3 linked regions of the Coturnix japonica genome follow. The protein of the gene in region 2 binds, or shares a complex with, the protein of the main gene of each other region. Links are inferred from orthologs where the notes say so. Each region holds a gene or a part of one and is shown on either strand. Other genes may lie near its edges.

Region 1 (4,275 bases), on a different chromosome or scaffold from region 2:
GCTGATGTGGACCATGTGAGTGTTTGACCTGGAACGTGGTTGGCTTCAAAAGGAAGGATTTATTTCTTGGCGTGCACCAAAAGGAAGAGCTGCTAATAGCCCTTCAGCTGCCATAATGCAGCAGCTGCAAAGAGGACTCCCAGAATCTAAATGAAATAGGGATTTTCTTGCCTGTGTTCATCAGGATTTAGTTTTTCCCCCCCCCGAATTCTCAACCCTGCTCCTGTTTTCCTGCATTAGCTGAAAACCTGCTGAGGAAGCAGAGAATGGCAGTGAATCTGCTCTATCTCCCAGTCTGGAAGGAGAACAGATAAAACATCCCTCTATGGGGAAAACCATTTACCCAAGGACAAATCTGCTGCTGGTCTCATGCAGAAGTAGAGGATGCATGAAAGTGAATCAGGATCCTGAATGGGGAAAAAAAAGACCTTCCAATATGAGTCATGTTACTTAACAAACAAAAATGGGATTTTTCAAGCTGTATTATTGCTCCTTTCATTTTAGGCTCTTATTAGGGGTTGCCTATTGCAATCGTCTTTTGTAACTCAGAGCCAGATCCATCCTTCAATTTAAATTATTTCAAAGGGATTTAAGCATCTTTGGCTCATCCCATCCTCAGAAACTCGCTTTGTCTCTTTGTCATCAGGCCTTCAGAGCAGCACCTGATCCAAACACCCTCATCTCTGCACCCCAAAAGCATTGCAAATGGGCGTCCTCAGAGCTGCAGTGCTGGAACCTGTACAGAAGAGAGAGACTCCAGAATCTGCCCATCATATTTTCCCTTTCACTTCTCCCACAACCACAAAAGCCTCATCTGGGAGAGTTTAATTGCTTGGGCTCTCAGCCCTCAGCATCACTCCGGTGCCCTGCTGTCATTTCAGAGGGGAAAAGGTAATTTGTTCCAGCTGTCTGTGCAGCCTGGTCCATGCTCTGTGCAGGAGGGTCTGTGTCTTCAGCTCAGTGTATAAAGCAGCACCTGAGAGGTGATCGCCCTGATTCTGTAGGGGCAAAACCTGGGATGGGGATGGGGATGGGATGGGATAGAAGGGGATGGGATGGGATGGGATGGGATAGAAGGGGATGGGATGGGGATGGGGATGGGATGGGGATGGGGATGGGATGGGATGGGGTGCTTCTGCGCTCCTGCAGTGTCCACTGGGAACAGCTTTATGCTGCACGCTGCTCACCCCATTTGCACAGCCGGGATTAGGGTGATGTATGCGTGCAACGTCCCCGGTCCCGAGAGGAGGAGCGTCCCGTGGGGAGCGGTTACACAACAGTGTGGGTTGGGATTCCATGGGGAAATCCTAAAGGGGGGTGGAGAAGGGGGGAAGAAAGAGAGGGGGGGGGGGGGGGGTTTACGACTGCGATGGATCCTATGGGAGGAACCGCTGCTCCGGGAGGGTCACCACGAGAAGATCCCACGCGGGGCCGCTCCCCGCACCACCCCCCCCTATATCAGTGTCTCCTCCCCGGGGCGGCCCAATGCACCCGCCCTGCCCCGCTCCTCCCGGCCACACCGCCAGCCCGGAGCCCGCAGAGCGGCGTGCCGTGCCGTGCGGTGCCGTGCCGTGCCCACCCGTGGGGCCGAGCCCCTCGCCTGGCTCCATGCGGCGGGGTCCACCCGGCCCCGCTCCCCCCTGCCCGGGGAGCCCCGGCGGTGTCAGGGCAGCTCGACGGCTGCGGAGGCGCGGAGGGTCCCCTCGGCTTTTGCCCGACGTGCGCAACATCTTCTCGGCTCCTCGAGAAGCGGCGGAACGAGCCCACGGTCACGGTCACGGTCACGGTCACGGTCACCGCTTCGTCCCCCGCGTCCCTCGCTGCGGTTGGTGCGATCTGTGCGGAGCTGCCGTGCGGGATCGTGCCCTGCGCTGCGAATGTGAGTGCTGCTGCCGTCCCGCAGTTCCATCCCGCACCGCATCCATCACCCTGCCCTACTCCCCACCAACTCCATGCCCCCCTCACCCCCAGCCCCGTGTCCCCCCGCAGAGCTGTCCCCCGTGGGGTGCGGATCCGTGCGGGGGATGCGGGACTTGGGGTTTTTTTTTCCTCCGGGGAAGATGGGATTATCGGCTCATCGGGGCGGAATGGCTCGTGGTTGTGCCGCCTTACGGTGGAGCTAAATCCTTCCAGGAATAGCACGTTGGGAATATCTCCTTTAGGTTCTTTGGGCAGTGAGCAGTGGGAGCTCTCTAGGAAGACTCGCTGTGCTCCCATCGGGTGCATTAAGATTTAGTTCTGCAGGAAGGGTTGGCGTTCCCATCGTGTTTAAGGGGTTGGGAAGAGGGGGTGGGAGTGAATGGGGTGTCCTGGGTCAGACGCAGCCCATGTGCATCACTGTGTGAGGGGTGGCATAAGGACCAAGCAGTGAGTTACAGGCAGCAGAAGTCGAACCTGTTGCCTTGTTATTCCATATCTTCTGAATGGGGAAAGGGCTTTACATCCTATAGACTATGAGCAGTGCCTGGGGGCGGCGCTCCTCCTGCCCCAGCCCTGTGCCCAGCTGATGTTTTCAGGTAACTGAGGGAGCATCCCGATCTGACACGTTAATTGGCAGCACTTTGTGATGCTGTGAGTGCTATAAAAGGGGTGTTTTGAGGGATTTCTTTCCCAGGGCTCTTTTACGAGTGATATTGAAAGAAGCCTGCAGTGCTTGCTTCCCTTTTCGTTTCTTCTGAGAGCTGTCAGGCTGTGGGAATAGATCAGCCTCTAAAATTCCCCAAACAACGACGTGTTATCGCTGGGGGGAGGGAGAGAAACTTCAGTGGGACTCTTAGAACATCAGCACCCATCGCCCTCCCCCTCCTCCTGCAGCACATCCGTTTCTGTTGGGGTTTTTTTCTTGCTGTTTGTTCAGGTGGGGCGGAACGTAGATGTTGGAATGTGAAGGTGACAACGCAGCTTCCAAGTCTGTGCTGAGATTTATTTGGGTTCTAAGCAGGGATATCCGGGGTCGGGGGTGGTTCTGGAAGCAGAAACTCCTGCTCCTTCCCCTTATCCCCTGCATTATGGGCTGGGCTTTTCCCTCAGGCATTTTCCAGCCTTAGGTCCTCTCTCATCCTGGCAGCTCAGGGCATGACTTACAGCCCTTGTATTTCCTGGGCTGTGCTTATCAAACTGCCCTATGGGGTGAGCTGGGTGTGCCCTGCATGGGTTTGTCCCATAGACCCGATCCCTCCCCAGGACATCATGTCACCCCACCAGCACTCAATGAGGTTTCCTTGCAGGACAATGGCACAGCTCAGTCTGTGTTCCAGCACTGTTGGATCAGGACCCATTTCATTGAGAAGAAAGCTGGCACAACACACAGCACTTTGCTTTCTAGCTTGTAAACTGCAGCTCTGCCATTACAGGTTCTGGAGTGGCTGTTTAATTATCAGTGCTCAGTAGCAGGTGTGGATGCTCCCAGCTGGGCTCTGGGATGGGGTCTCTGCCCACACCTGCAGCACTTTAAGTGTGAGGTTTTCCCATGTCTCCTCCCTGCGTGTCCCTCCCATTTCTGCTCTCATCACTGTAAACAATAATTGCCACCAGGAGCCACAGTTTTGGGGCTTCCTTAGTCTGGTTTGGGCAGATTCTTGTTCTCCCAGCAGCAGAGGATGAGGGTGGTGGGGAAGGTGCAGGGCAGGGCACAGGGATCAGGTCTATGGGGCAGGGCACAGCAGGTATTGCTCACTGGGGGACTCAGCATTGGCAGGCTGCTATTCTGGGGGGGGCTCAGGTCCTTGGGTCACCCTTTGCTGCTGCCTTCCCATCCTGTGCTTATGGAGGAAGACACCAATGGAGGCTTTGGTTCACCAGGTGAGGTTTGGGTTGTTTCTTCCTTTCCTGGTCCTGTAGCTGGGCTTGGTGGTCTGGGTTGGGAAGAAGGGATGTGTGTGAGCTGCAGGGTTGGGGGATGCTGAGGGGTGAGGAAGGAATTACTTTGTATTATCCTGTGCTGCTTGGTGTGATGTTTGGATTTAGTGAGCTTTTATCTCTGCAAATTAATGGATGAAATGGGTAGAGTGTGTTGTGTGGGATGCTGGAAACCTGCCCCATGGGTGAGGGGATGGCTGTGATACAGAATGGGGAGGTTTTAAAGCCCTTTGTTGGGTGATGGGATGGATACGAGCATCATCCAGCACCTCACGTGGCTAGAAAGGATGGATGCTACAGGAAAACTGCAGCACTGATCCAAAAACCTGGCAGGGCTCATGTCAGTATTGCTCACATTGCTGATCTCAGTGTATTTCTTTAATGTTTCATTCAATATTGGAGGCTTTAGACAACCAC
Region 2 (3,626 bases):
GTGCTTAGTGAAGAATCCTGAACAAAGAGCTACAGCAACACAGCTGCTACAGGTCAGTCTTCAAGTTTCAAAGGAAATGCAAGTTTTATGGCTTTATCTCCCAGTCTCAAACCAGAATGGCTGTGAAAATGTAAGAGCATGTCTCTTGCCTTATTTCTTCTCCATTTTGTGATCTTTTCTGTATCACCTTTTATATCTCTAGCACTGTTTTATTCCTCCTTTGTTACTTCTAAACAGTAATTTCCTCCTGAAGTTTAGAGCTGGTTCTTTGTATTAAAAAATGGGTTCTTGTTCGGTGATTAGAGACCTTAGCAGATCATAGGGTTTAGGCCAGTGTTATGTTAAGGAACCCTTCAGTAGGGACCACCCATGGAGTGTACTCAGTCTGCCCTTTTGGTCATGCCAAATTAAACAAGACAGGTTATTCTGTATCCTAGAAGGATCTGATATGGATGGACAGGATAAAGAGGCTATTCTTGGGCTGTTACCCCAACTGAGCACTTTTCAATTCCAACCACAGTTGGCAGCGTGAACCAACAGGCTTTAGGTCTCTCACTGAACTAACCTGTGTGTTGCTTGGAAATTTAACAGTTGGTACTAAGTACCATTTAGCATTTTGGTACTGAGATGCAAATAAAGCAGAGAAATTTCAAAGAACTACAAAAATCAAACAGGAGGGACTGATCTGTCAAGAAAGGTGTAGTATTGTGAAACCAACAAAATTTTACAAGAACTACATGTTTTGGTGCACAGTAAAAGGGAAAACATGAAAAAAGTATGCTCTTCTAGTTTGGTTTACTTCTTTAGTTTTGTTGTCCACTTAACTAAAGTACTGTCATGGTCAACCTTTAAATAACCAAGGGAAATCATGTCTATCTTCATGTTGTAGATGGAAGGCAGCTGAAAGGAAAAAAAACCCTAGAATATCTGTAGTTGGTTCCTTGATGAATCTAAAATTTCCCATAAGTGAATCTAAATGATTTAGATTCATCTGAAATGAAATAAGCTTTCTTTTCTAACAAGAAGCAAAACATTAAGTAAGCTTTTGGATAATTTCGTCTATGCTTTTCAATGCTACTGGTAAAAATTGTTCTTAATTTTCATTTCATCAATCTACATAAGAACTTCTGAAATTTCTGTTGTAAGACAACTGTGATACCTGTATTCTGTCTTGAGGTAGGAGCATGCTCGTTTTAAATTTACATTAGAATTTAGCCCACTACAAGTACATCTTTGAAAGTAATTTTCAGTAATAAAACATAAAATTCATATTTATGGTATGAAGTATTTTATCTCTCATTGAAAGTAAAATGGATGGGAAGTAAAAGTTGGAATTCAAGATCAGAAATTTGTATGCTAACTATTGACTGGAACTGATTAAAAGAGACTTGTATTAATGCATACCAGTAACAAAAAGCCTTCAGAGTTACATGTCCCCTATACTTACTGGCCAGAAGACTGACTACTTGCATCCATTAGTTGTACATGTTGCCTTTTTCCCAGTTGGAGCATGCGCAGCGGAGCAGGAGGTGCCATGGGTATGTTGGAGGGGTACAGGTGGGAATGAAAATACCACTTGTGAAGAACAGTTATAGAGGGGAAAGAAGGGTAATTGAATTCATGTATCAAGGGAGGGGATGGGTAACAGGCAAAGGAGGACACTAGGATTTATCAAGTTTGTTCTTCATAGAACGATTTTTTAATCAGTAATAATACATGTCTGAAGTGCTGAGAGCTACATTTTTACTCAGTTGTACTTTCATATGATAATATGAGACAAGAATTTTTATAACAGTAGGGGGTTATTAGAGCATAACAGGAATGTAAATGGTATCATCCACGGGTTGTCTTCAAGGAGGAAATGATGCTGTAAATGGCTTTGAATTAAAATTCTCTTCCTCCTAAAAATAATGTTTTCTTTTCTTTTCTTTTCTTTTTTTTTACTTGTTCCACATTTCACCCTCCTAGATGAAGAAATGTTTTATGACATATTCAAGTACAGGTCTGTTGGAGTAAGCAACAGCCATACTTGCTCTGCTTACAGCCGCTAATTTATGCTGTCAGCTTGTTAAGATTAATTAAATACTGTAACTGAATATCTGAAAAAGTTTGTTTTTCTATGTCAGACAATCACCACTCTATTTATTTACTACTTAATGCACATTTCCTTGGGACAATTATGTCCCTAACTATAAAGCAGTTGTTTTGTAGTTGTATTTCTTAAGTCTTGCTGGTTTTTGTTTTGTTTTGCTTGTTTATTTTTTAATAAAAATCAAAGTCTTGTAGAATAAGCTGGAAAGGACCTCTGAAGAATCGTCAAGTCCAACTCCCGGCTCTACGCAGGACCACCCAAAATCCCAACTCCGTGTCCGAGGGCGCTGTCCAAACCATCTGTGAACTCTGGCACTCGGGGCCGTGCCCACTGCCCTGTGCAGCCCGTTCCATGCCCACCACCCTCTGGTGCAGACCCTGTCCCTCACCCCCAGCCGCCCTTCCCCTGACTTCACTCCATGCCGTTCCCTCGGGCCCTGTCGCTGTCACACAGAGCAGAGCTCAGCGCTGCCCCTCCGCTCCCTGTCACGAGCTGCAGCCGCCATCAGGCCTCCATCAGCTCCTCTGCTCTGGGCTGCACAAATAAGGCGACCTTAGCACTCCTCATACGTCTTGCCCTCTAAGCCCTTCCCCATTTTCATAGCCCTCGTTTGGATACTCTCTAATATTTTTATGTCCTTATACTGTATGGCCATACCAGTATGGAGTGGGTAAATAGAAGTGAAATCTTGGTTGTGAAGTAGTTGAAAATTGCCACGTTTTAGATTTAAATTACAGTGTGATGTGAAGTACCATTTATCGTTGAAGTCATTGGTGTTGAATAACACTTGCAATTATATCTGAGCTGTATCTATTGTAATGATGTCATTGAATTTCTTTTTTTCTGTTTTTCCCTAGCATACATTTATTAAGAATGCCAAGCCAGTTTCAATTCTAAGGGACCTTATCACTGAAGCTATGGAAATAAAGGCAAAACGACATGAGGAGCAGCAGAGGGAACTAGAAGAAGAAGAGGAAAATTCGGTCTGTATTTCTTTTTCCTTAGAACTTTTCATATTTTATAGATAAGTTACTATTGCTTTTTGGCAGCTTCCTGTCTTCACATCTTCAAGTACTTTTCTGTTTCTACCACTTCTGTAGCCTGTGAGGTCCAGGGTCTTTGTCCCTTATTCGTAATGAGTAATGGTTCTGTGAGTAATGCTGTATGAGCCAGCTTTCAGTACTGTTTCATGCATCGTCATAGTAAGTTTTAAGAGGTGGGTAGAGAAACCATGTCAAGTTCAGCTTTTCTGACTAGCATTAAAAAAAAAAAAATACTGTTGGGGTCCTATTTTTACTTCTAGAAATGTATTAAATTTTCATAAGTTCAGGTTACTTAGCTTTTTTTGTAGAGTCTATTACACAAAGTAGTTACTTGTGCAGCAAAATTACTAGTGTTTGCAGTATTATTTGAATGAAGTTGTGCATGTGATGTAGAAATGATGACAGCTTTTAATTCTTCCAATTATGATGATGGTAACACACATACAGAGTGGGAAATAGATCATAATTACTATAATTATTTGGCAATGGTA
Region 3 (3,626 bases), on a different chromosome or scaffold from region 2:
GGATCAGCTCTCTGCTCCGACTCCACGCTGGTTTTCAGCATAATAAACTAGTTTTTGTATGGAAAAAGATTAACAAACGTTTCTCATTTGTATAAACAATACATAATACATGTAGAAAAATATTCAAGAGGATAATAACAAAAGGTGCAATGTCAACAAAAATAAGCTGCCTTTTCAACCAAAGCACTTCTTTATGAACTGTGGGGGCTTCTGAAAGCTCCTGGCCTCCCCTGTGTCCGTGGGGCAGCTCAGAAGTTCTTGCTGTGCTGCTGGGCGTACCACTGCTGCCGCTGCTTGCGGTGCTCCAGCTCGGTGAGCAGCGCCTGCCTGTAGGCCTCGTACAGCTTCACGATGCGCTCCAGCTCCTTCATGAAGAGCAGCTTCAGCATGCCCTGGTACGTGTCCAGGTCAGCCAGCTGGAACAGCTCCCACTTCAGGATGTGGTCGTACCTGGAGTGGCACAGAGGGTTACACCTGAGGCTGCCGTGCTGCTCTGCGTTCGCAGGCTGTGCTGATTTAGGTCACTGCATCCCAAACTGTGGGGCACGAGCCCCGTGGAACAACGGGAGGGGAGAACCGGGTAGCAGCAGTAAGAAGAAACAGCCCTAATCAGTGGCCATGTCACCTCGGTGCCAGCCCAAAGCCCTCTTTGGAGAACACCCCTCTGGCTGATAGGGAGCTACTCTGGGCAGCCCCCAGCTGCTGCAGGCAGGTAGCCCCAGCCTTGCTCTGTATTAGATGCTGCATCCTTACTGCAGGTTCGTGATCTTCTTCCCAGCACTTCTAAACATTTGTAACTCACCTGCACTGTGATTTTCTTAACTTAGCTATCAGCAGCTGACAGGGCAGCTACTGAAAGAACAGGAGAACAGATGGAATGAGCAGAGCTATGAGATCCTGGTTACATGGAGAAAGACAAAGGTTCTGATCTGTGCTTCAAAAGAATCTGAACTGCAATCTCAGGCTGCCCAATGTGTGTTGTTCTTTGAGAAGCCCTCAAGCTGAGGTGACAGCAAGTCAGCTGCTATCTCTCCTCTTCCCTTTCCCAGTACAAAATCAGCATGAAACAGGATTTGCTTCTTCACATTTGAGAATGCCACAAACAGCAATGTCTGTACCTGCCCTGCTTCAGCTGAAGAAATGTAAAAGGAGGCTGGAAAATGTGTGACTTTGGGGTCCTCTCAATACTGACTTCAGTGTCTCAGCCTTTCAGGAAGTCTCTGAGAATCTTACAGTGCTTATCTTCAAGTTTCAAGAGAAGAACCAGCAAGAACCTACACAACACAGGCTGAAATCCTTCAGACTGCATTGTCTACATGTGCCAAAGACCTAAATAAAGAAATGCAGCTGCAGCCAAAGCCTAGAAGTATTTCTAGGAACTCAGCCCTCTCCCAGGTTACAGGAACTGCAGCACCAGTACACCACTGGATTTTAGGTCCATTTAAATTCATATTGTTTTGCCAGAAGACACGAGAAGTAATTAAACCCATTCCAATTACACTAATTAGAAGCAGCTAAAAACTTCAGCTGAAAGCCACTGACCGCTACATGGTTTGAGAATTCCCAACTGTGCACTGAGCTGTTTGCTGTGACTCAGCCTCCCCACGTTCTCCTCATGAAGAAGAACGTGGTTTTATAGTTGTTGAAGTGCCACATGGATGCTTTTAGAAACTGATTTTCTACTTCGTGTCAGTCTTGTGCAGAGCTGCAGCCATCAGAACGTGTTTCATTGCATTGATTCAGATCTACCCCTGGAAAAGACCCCCTGTTGCTAAACATACCCCATGTATTTTATATGCCATGGGGCACCATACTCACAAGCACACTGAGAGTACAGCACGCACTCCCAGTTCTGCAGTGCCATGTTAAGTATTGCCTAATGCAAAGCAAACCTATGAGAAGTGGTCTCCATTCTCCTGCTAAGACACAAATGAAGCCCAACTTCATTCCAACTTGCCCATTTCCACCCAGAAGAGTCAAGAGTCCATTCCCCTTATCGAGCCAACTTTTGCTATGTTTGTGGGAGATGTGAGTGTCGCACACATGGTTTAAATCATAATGTACAGCACAGATTACATGCACGGTGATCTTAATATATTATGTGTACAAACCATAGATAGATGTTTTAAAAGCATATTCTGACAGCAGTTTGTTGAACGGGCAATTGAGCAACAAAAATTACAGGTCTAAAGCACTTAGGCTGGATCCTCAGCCAGCGATGGTCCACTCAATTTAGGGTGGCTTGTATTTCTGATATGAAAAATCCCAGTACAGATCCCTCACCCACTGTCAGCAGCAGCTCTCATACAATTACAGAACAGCCAGCAGCTGTAGTTCTACTTCCAGTCCTCGGAACCCACTTGGTTTCTGTCTAAACGATGCACGTGTAATTTAGTGCAAAATAAGAGTAAAGAAAACAAGCTTACTTGACAGGAGCCCTGGCGTAGACCTGCAGCCAGTCTGGAATCTCCGCAGTGTGGTAAGGGTTCGCAGGGACCAGGAGGGGCTGGCTTCTCTCTGCCTGCTGGGGCTGGTAGGTCACTGGGGGAGGCTGGTCGTAGCGGGGAACGCTGTATGGAGGAAGGCAGAGAAATTCAGCAGGCACCAAGCAGGATGTCCTGCTCTCATTAATAAAGATATGAACTTCCTGCAATACAGCAAGAAGGATCGAATAGAAATTAACCGGTAGATTTGGTGCATGCTAACTTGATTTTACCTCTGTGTTTTAAGCAGCTAAAATATCTGTTTTTATTCCAGAGATGACTTAGTTTGGGTTTCAGAGATGGTTTCCCAGAACATCAATCAAGTTTTTACCTTCAGGCTAAAACCCAATTCTGCTCTCAGCAACCCGACTGTTTCACCAGCAGTCACAGACAACAGCTGCTTTATTTTAGTGAGAATAATATCCTGTTTCTAAACTGAACGAACAGATGAGACAGAAACCAACAATTACAACTTCTACAAGTCTCAGCCAAGAAGCAGTAAAGCTTACTTATAAAAAATAAGTTGGTTTTGGCATGTGGTATGCAAGGCAAAAGCAGTTCACAGAATCACATCATAGAATCACAGAATGGCCCAGGTTGGAAGGGGCCTCAAGGACCACGAAGCTCCAACCTCCACATTGATACCAGCCCAGGCTGCCCAGGGCCCCATCCAACCTGGCCTTGAACACCTCCAGGGATGGACGGGGCATTCACAGCCTCTCTGGGCAGCTGTTCCAGCACCTCACCACTCTCACAGTGAAGAACTTCCCCCTGACATCCAACCTCAATCTTCCCTCCTTCAACTCCAAACCATCTCCCCTTGTCCTGCTGTTATCTGCCCTTGTAAAGAGTTGTCTCCCCTCCTGTCTGTAGGCTCCCTTTAGGTCCTGGCAGGCTGCATTGAGGTCACCCCGCAGCCTTCTCTTCTCCATGCTGAACAAGCCCAGCTCCCTCAGCCTGTCTTTGTAGGGAGGTGCTGCAGCCTCTGAGCATCTTTGTGGCCTCCTCTGGACCCTCTCCAGCAGCTCCCTGCCTTTTCTGTATCGGGGGCTCCAGACCTGGACACAGCACTGCAGATGGGGCCTCAAGAGGGCAGAACAGAGAGGGACAATCACCTCCTGTCCCTGCTGGCCACCCCTCTGC

The links.
Region 1: the proteins of STK3 (region 2) and RASSF5 are in contact, whole or in part, in a crystal structure (PDB 4LGD), measured with the Homo sapiens proteins. The link is inferred for Coturnix japonica from reciprocal best matches to the Homo sapiens genes STK3 and RASSF5. Residues at the interface, in NP_006272.2 of Homo sapiens: Phe437, Phe439, Leu440, Leu445, Leu448, Gln449, Arg451, Leu452, Leu455, Asp456, Met458, Met459, Glu462, Ile463, Leu466, Arg467, Tyr470, Lys473, Arg474, Pro476, Ile477, Leu478, Ala480, Met481, Lys484, Gln488; in NP_872604.1 of Homo sapiens: Trp369, Asp370, Ala371, Phe372, Ile374, Leu377, Gln378, Phe380, Leu381, Leu384, Glu385, Glu387, Glu388, Lys391, Ile392, Val395, Gln396, Lys398, Tyr399, Phe402, Arg403, Lys405, Leu406, Ala409, Leu410, Ser413.
Region 3: the proteins of STK3 (region 2) and SAV1 are in contact, whole or in part, in a crystal structure (PDB 6AO5), measured with the Homo sapiens proteins. The link is inferred for Coturnix japonica from reciprocal best matches to the Homo sapiens genes STK3 and SAV1. Residues at the interface, in NP_006272.2 of Homo sapiens: Trp429, Lys430, Val431, Pro432, Gln433, Gly435, Phe437, Phe439, Leu440, Lys441, Asn442, Leu443, Ser444, Leu445, Leu448, Gln449, Arg451, Leu452, Leu455, Asp456, Met458, Met459, Glu462, Ile463, Leu466, Arg467, Arg469, Tyr470, Ala472, Lys473; in NP_068590.1 of Homo sapiens: Tyr311, Ala312, Arg313, Ala314, Pro315, Asp319, Trp324, Glu325, Phe327, Gln328, Leu329, Leu332, Asp333, Gln336, Leu339, Lys340, Leu342, Phe343, Glu346, Leu347, Ile350, Val351, Met353, Tyr354, Ala356, Tyr357, Arg358, Ala360, Leu361, Leu362.

What each region holds. Positions count from the first base shown.
Region 1 is NC_029541.1:2,734,272-2,738,546, forward strand, and holds the start of RASSF5 (ras association domain-containing protein 5), read left to right. Parts: upstream 1-1,450; 5' UTR 1,451-1,485; coding exon 1,486-1,879; intron 1,880-4,275. UniProt on the Homo sapiens protein: Potential tumor suppressor. Seems to be involved in lymphocyte adhesion by linking RAP1A activation upon T-cell receptor or chemokine stimulation to integrin activation.
Region 2 is NC_029517.1:115,664,339-115,667,964, reverse strand, and holds part of STK3 (serine/threonine-protein kinase 3), read left to right. Parts: coding exon 1-52; intron 53-2,949; coding exon 2,950-3,075; intron 3,076-3,626. UniProt on the Homo sapiens protein: Stress-activated, pro-apoptotic kinase which, following caspase-cleavage, enters the nucleus and induces chromatin condensation followed by internucleosomal DNA fragmentation.
Region 3 is NC_029520.1:52,517,712-52,521,337, forward strand, and holds part of SAV1 (protein salvador homolog 1), read right to left. Parts: intron 2,571-3,626; coding exon 2,427-2,570; intron 451-2,426; coding exon of another isoform or gene 249-450; exon of another isoform or gene 1-248. UniProt on the Homo sapiens protein: Regulator of STK3/MST2 and STK4/MST1 in the Hippo signaling pathway which plays a pivotal role in organ size control and tumor suppression by restricting proliferation and promoting apoptosis.